Canis lupus familiaris: one gene and its partner. The protein of the gene in region 2 interacts with the protein of the main gene of each other region in a biochemical or structural test. Links are inferred from orthologs where the notes say so. Each region holds a gene or a part of one and is shown on either strand. Other genes may lie near its edges.

Region 1 (3,517 bases), on a different chromosome or scaffold from region 2:
AACCAACCTGAAGTAGCAGGAGAGACACCAGCCCTGAGGGCAGTGGAGTTAGCCAAGAGAAAAATCAAAACCCTTCTAGGGTAACTGGTATGCATGATTGTTGATGGCTGTTACCTTGGGAGCACAAGCATTTAGCATCCATAATATTAGACACAACACAAAACCCCCAACCCAATGATCAAAGAATCCTAGTTAGAAAGCATCTTCGAAGATCTTCTGTTCTGACCTCCTACCCAATGGGGTAGTTTGTCCCTCAAGTGGGGTGGTTTATCTATGGCTTTCCTGCAACAGTTAATGATTATCAGATTGGTTGCTAAGTAAAAAAGAACCGAACTCCTCCATGCCCTTCACATCCTGGAGTGGTTCATCTGCCAATCAAAGGCTATTTGTTTTATATCTTCTTTCTATCTAGCTCAGTTCAACCAATAAGACAGACTACGTTGGTTGGGCACCATGTTGCCAGGTAACCGAGCCTTCTGGTAATCTCACCTGAACGCCCTCTCCTGTGAGAGCTGAGCAGGACTGGATCTGCCAGACACGGTCGCGGATGGTGTGCAGGTTCAGTCCTTCTGCAATTTCAGAGGCAGGGGCTGCCGTGAGCAAATCCTGCTTGTTAGCAAAGATGAGCACTGGCACACAACTTAGTTTTTCTTCCTCCAGTAATTCAGCTAGTTCCTGGATCATTTTGGGAATGGATGGGAAGGGAAGGATGAAATCTATGATATTTAACCATGTACTTTTAATTAGAAAAACAAAAAACAAAAAACAGAAGTGTTAAGTTAATCAACTAACAACTTCCAAGGGCAATGGTTCTCAAACTTGAGCCTATGGAAGAATTTCCCGGCAGATTCCTGGGCCCATCCCAGAGATGCTGACTTTGGAAAGTCTGAGATAGGACCTAAGAATCTGCATTTCCACAGGTGGCTCTGCTATGGATTCAGAGATCATTGAGAAACACTGGTCAAAGGAGAAAACAAGTTGTAGATAGATATTTAAAATTTAGGATTGCTATCTACAAATGACTTTCAATGCACACACACATTTTTAAACTAGAAATGACAATGACTTTAGAGTTTATAATTCTGCTTCATTAATCTTACTTTCAAAGCAAGAATGCATGTGCACTGCACTTCATCAAACTCACATCCTAGAATAATTATCTTAGTCCACCTGGCAGTATGTCTGATATTTTGGTTATTGGTTGGGGTCTTAATTGTATGTTGATTCTGTCTGCAATAAGCATAGGAGATGGTGTGTATTTACCTGAAAGGACCTACCTCTTCCCTATTAAACTCTCATTTTAGCTACTTAGGACACTTGGGCTGTCAAAGGGAATTGGATAGTTCAAGAGACAGATCATTTTATAACTTTTTTACCTCTAAGGTCATGTTTAGCATTGATTCACATGAGTGATGATATAGAAATCATCAAGGTATGGAAAAGAGTTCCCAAACTAATTTTTAGGAAAAAGGAACATAAACACGGGGAATGCTACTTTTGGAAGGCCACCTGTGATAGTTTAGGATATAGGCCAAGGACTCTGCACACTTTCCTAAAGAGGTCATTCTACTCTTTGCTTCTTATCAGTATACTCCATCTGGGTAAAATGGTCTATGCCCACTGCTTCTCTATTTAAAATTGTGTACACAAATCTCACCATGTAATCATGTTGACATGTACTTTGCATTTTAAGGCACATTTGGGTTCAAAGTATATCTACCTCTTGATTGGAAACAAGAGGAGCTTAGTCTTGGCTTACATATTTCTTCCCATCCCTTCACAAATTTGTCAGAGGTACCCTTGGATCAATTAAGCTGGTATTGAAAAATGTACGTAGAAATGACAAGTGAATTGTTCCTCTGGGTTCATTTCTAAGTGGCCTGGGAATAACCCTGAAGAGCTTTTGGGCATGGGGGTAAGTTCCATTTATTTCTATTGTATTTATTTAATTTGACTAAAACTAAAAGGCTATCATTAAAAAATAGTTTAAGGGACTTTCAACTAATTTCCTTTCACGCAACTTTTTTTTGGTAACTGGTATTTTTGCTTGCTTGCCAGAATGACTGCGTTGTTTAAACTGCAAAGGTTAAACAAAAAATACCTCCCTCGCTCTCATACGTTTACAAGGTAGATTAATGAATACCTAGTTATTTGGAAAATATCTCAACAGAAGAATTATTTACCTGACCCGTCTCTTCAAATCTTTTTCTGTCTGCACTGTCAATGACATATATCTGTGAAGTAAAAGAAGGTTACTTCAATAAGCAGAAATGGAAAAAGACAGGGTACCTTCTGGAGAAGGAGCAGAGGATCCTCAGTCAGATTTCTCATTACCACAGCAAACGGAAACTGGCTGAAAAGTCTTACCTCATCTATGGATGCCAAATAAACTAATTAATTAATTAACTGATTGATTAAATACGGATACCCAGAAAATATGCCAAACAAAGCTTCAAAGTAGATGTCAGGAGAGCCAAGCAGGATAAAAATAGGTACATTTATTATACATTCACTAAAAATTCTTGTTTAGATTTACCCTATCAATCCTTGTTACAATTCTATGAGATAGATTTCATTATCTTCCCATTTTATATGTAGATAAACAAAAGCCTAAAGAAGTTAAGTATTATGCCCAAGTCCTTTTTTTTTTAAAGATTTATTTATTTATTTATTTATTTATTTATTTATTTATTTATTTATTTATTCATTCATGAGAGACCCACATAGAGAGAGAGAAGCAGAGACACAGGCAGAAGGAGAAGCAGGCTTCATGCAGGGAGCCCTATGCAGGACTGGGTCTCCAGGATCACGCCCCGGGCCAAAGGTGGCACTAAACTGCTGAGCCACCCAGGCTGCCCAATGCCCAAGTTCTAACAAGACTGGAATTTAAACTCAGGCCCACCTGACAGTAAAGTCCACATTGTCAGGAAGGGATAGTTTTTTGAGGCATTTACAAATACCACAGTCCTGGAACATCATGGCTCTGAAAGTACATTCTGCAGTCTTAACTATACACTGATTTCAGGTGCCAAGGGAGGAGACCCACTGATCTCCATTTCATTCCCACCTTCTCAGGCTTGCTGAGAGGTTAAGATCAAGTATTGGGAATAGAAAGGGCATAGGCTTTGCCAGACCTAAGAGAAGTCTTAAGAGTCACCGTAAATTATAAATCTCAAGCTTTATCTCCCATCACTGAATTTTATTAATTGCGTAAATAACAATAAGGGAAATGAAAGAAGACCAAAAGAGAAAAATTATCTATAGTTATAGAACCCAAATACATTTATTATTTTAATTTCTTGTGAAAGTTCCCTTCTAGTTTTTCTTCATAATTAAAAAAGAAAATTATAGATATAATTTTGTTGGCCTTTTAAAAATATTATTTATTGGGATCCCTGGGTGGCGCAGCGGTTTGGTGCCTGCCTTTGGCCCAGGGCGCGATCCTGGTAGACCCGGGATCGAATCCCACGTCGGGCTCCCAGTGTATGGAGCCTGCTTCTCCCTCTGCCTATGTCTC
Region 2 (3,517 bases):
AGAAGGTCATTTAGTTTTTTCCCCCTCCATAATCTTCAACAGAACTGTTACAATTTTGAAAAAATCCATTAAAAAAAGGAGACTTGATGAATTCCCCATTCACTTCTTCATTTTTGGAACTTTGATTTTTAAATTTGAGGACTCCTTCTGAGGAACATCTGACTAACGGGGTAATCAATACATGCCACTGCTACCTCCCCACTGGAGCACACCCACCAACACTAGGAACTGCTGCTTCTGCAGCCCCTAATCTCTACATCCCCAGGTTATTTTTCAAGTGAAAGCTGCTACCAATAGAAGAACTCTTTTCCCAAACTCACTGAGTCCCTGCTCCTGAGCCCACAACCTTTCCTAACCCAGCTCCCACCTCCTTCTTACACACCAACCTCCCCTTTGCATAGCAACAGGGCAAAGAAAAAATATCAAGGTGGTTCTCATAGTCACCCCAGTGGCCAAAAGTTGTTCTCCTAAATGTCTTTCTTACTCCCCCCTCCAACCAATTAAAACCCAAATAAATATTCCCAACTAAATAAGATTGTGCTTTAGTATGCAGTACTACCTTTGTAAACTTCCATGGAAATCATTTATTATAAAGAATGGAAATTATCTGAGGGTAGAGAATTTTGCTTATGTGTCTCCATCTCCAGCATATACTCTAGTTGATCAGTTTTAAGTTGCCATCAATTGTAAGATGCATTTTGTTTTTTAATTTTTTTTTTATTTTTTTTATTTATGATAGTCACAGAGAGAGAGAGAGAGGCAGAGACACAGGCAGAGGGAGAAGCAGGCTCCATGTACCGGGAGCCTGATGTGGGATTCGATCCCGGGTCTCCAGGATCGCGCCCTGGGCCAAAGGCAGGCGCCAAACCGCTGCGCCACCCAGGGATCCCGTAAGATGCATTTTGGATAAGCAAAAATGTGGAGAACAAATGTACATTCTATAATCAATGAAATAGGGTAATAGAAATAACTCTTCACATAGTAAATGTTTAATAAATGCTTACTGAATTGAATGATATTTTTTAAAGTTTCTTTGAAAAGTCTTTTGAGGCCTAAGCAATCAGCTTATAGATAAATCTGCAGGGGGCAGAGGACTATAACTTAAGGATTGCCTGCATTTCTAATAGCCAGTTTGAAAAGAATGGAAGTTCTCCAGGAAGTGTGGTGTGTTTCTACCTAGGTATGTGTCTGTTTTTCCTCTCTCTCTCCTTACCTCATCAATTAGTTTTCTGGCATTTGCGATAGTATAATCACCAGCAAATAATACCACTAAGCATGATTCATCACTGCTCTTCTGTCTCTGACCCCGAGATACTGGAACGATACTTCTATTGGCTTCTGTGGAAACGCGGACAGCTTTGAGCTCTTCAGTGGTAGGTAGGGGAACATGGTCTTGAACTACAGTATCTTCTGGAAGAAGACTCCAGTTGAGTTCTCCTGACACAGGTGTAAAGTCATGAATGTTGCTCCAAGTATTATTGAAGATACTTAATGCCGCATCTTTGAACTGGAATGCTAATTCAGGGTAGTACCATTGGAAACAGCCAAACTTGATGTTTGTGGAAGACTCAATAATGGGTTGAGTGGCACAGCACAAAAAGACTTCCAGCTTTCTACAGTCCCTCACACGAAACTGTTGGCAGGCTAATGTGCACTTGCAATCTCTGCAATTCCGGAAAAACACACTGCCTTTCACAGGTCCCAGGAAAATTACACAGTTAGTACAGTCGTCGATAGTGATGGTAGCAGAGTGATCAAAAATGTAGATGTTACAGTTCTCACAGTCCTGAATGAGAAACTGTTGTCCTGCCACTTGGCCAGGTAGGCGACCCACTGTTTCATCCTTCAGTCCACTGAACATATAGTCTTTTGGATCAACCTGCAAGGACAAAATATGGGTCTTGAGTATTACTAACATTATTCAACAAATATTAGTCAAGTGTCTACTAGGTGCCAGGCACAACTTCTGGTGCTAAAATAAGTTCCTACTTTCACCGACTTTGCAACATATTAAGAAAATGAACAGCACAAATTATTTTTTCCAATATTAAAAGGCATGAGGGGAACAAAGGGAGAGGAGACTGTTATAAAGAGACTCAGGACATACCAACCAAACAATGGATATTGTTTGGATCCTGTTTCAACATATCAACTATAGAGACTTTTTTGAAATGACTGAGGAAATTCTCACACACACAGCATTTTGGATGATACTGAGGAATATTTCAGCTCTGACCCTTTTTCTTTTTCTGATGCTTCACTTTTTGATTTTTTTTATTCAAGTATAATTAAAAGACAGTGTTATTAGTTTCAGGTGTACAATACAGTGATTCAACAATCCCATGCATCACCTGGTGCTCATCACAAGTGCACTCTTCAATCCCCATCACCTATTTCACCCCCCTCAACCACTTCCCCTTTGGTAACCTCCAGTTTATTCTCTATATTTAAGAGTCTGGTCTTTTGCCTGTCTTTTTTGTTTGTTCATTTGTGTTGTTTCTTATATTCCATGAGTGAAGATTTAAAACAACTGCTTCTTAAAAAACTTCTGAAATTGGAAATACACTCCCATTGAAATATATTTCTCTATTTTTCAATAAACTGACACATAGGTCTTAGTTTCTAAACTCTGACTGATTTCTGTAATATGCTACAGAAAATGGAAGAACCTGAAGGTACAAAAATCACTATATGGCATAACTTCCATCTGCAAGTTAGATTCAAATATTTATTGAGTCTTTCCTACAATGGAAATTCTTGAAACGCCACCATTCCTATCTTTTGATATTCTAAACTAAAGCACACACAACCTTTTATTCAGTATGCCTGGAATTTGTCACAGTATATATTTAAAAATTCTACTGACCTCTAAGAGTCACAAAAGGCCATTTTGATTTTTCTAAATTACTTTTGAGTCCACTTGCACTGTTTTACCTCTTTGCAAATATTAAATTTCATGCAAAACTATCGATGTAACCAGAAACAGACTCCCATACAGTAGGTAAAATTTTGATGATTCACAAAGGATAATTTAATCATCTCAATCATTACCAAGCTAAAAGTGACTTATTCAGTATTGCACAGTAAGTGTTGTTCTTATCTACTTTTACATAATGTACTAGAAGGAGTACTGATCTGTAACACGAGGCAATAAAAGAGGCACTTTGTTTCCCAATCTTAATTTTGTCATCTATGAGCAACATGATCTTGGAAAAGGCACTTTAACTTTCCAGCTCATCAGTCATTCAACCAAAATTTGAACACTCAATATGAGCCAGGTATCCTTTTAGGCACTAACATGAGTATGACCAGCTCTTCCTATAAAAAAGTAAACACTAACCTAAACAGATGATTTAAAAACAACTTGGTTGTGCAATGCAAGATGCCTAGAATATTCTGGAAACACAGATGAGGGACATCTGGGATAGGGGAGGTAGGGGTGTAAGACTTCATTAACAAAAAAACAAAAAACAAAAAAAAATAACAAAAACACACACACACACACAAAAAGACTTCA

The links. The genes of interacting proteins can lie anywhere in the genome.
Region 1: the proteins of RP2 (region 2) and ARL3 form a complex in vitro, tested with the Homo sapiens proteins (2 studies listed by BioGRID). The link is inferred for Canis lupus familiaris from reciprocal best matches to the Homo sapiens genes RP2 and ARL3.

What each region holds. Positions count from the first base shown.
Region 1 is NC_049249.1:15,351,600-15,355,116, forward strand, and holds part of ARL3 (ADP-ribosylation factor-like protein 3), read right to left. Parts: intron 2,235-3,517; coding exon 2,184-2,234; intron 676-2,183; coding exon 490-675; intron 1-489. UniProt on the Homo sapiens protein: Small GTP-binding protein which cycles between an inactive GDP-bound and an active GTP-bound form, and the rate of cycling is regulated by guanine nucleotide exchange factors (GEF) and GTPase-activating proteins (GAP).
Region 2 is NC_049260.1:40,692,496-40,696,012, reverse strand, and holds part of RP2 (protein XRP2), read right to left. Parts: intron 1,880-3,517; coding exon 1,214-1,879; intron 1-1,213. UniProt on the Homo sapiens protein: Acts as a GTPase-activating protein (GAP) involved in trafficking between the Golgi and the ciliary membrane.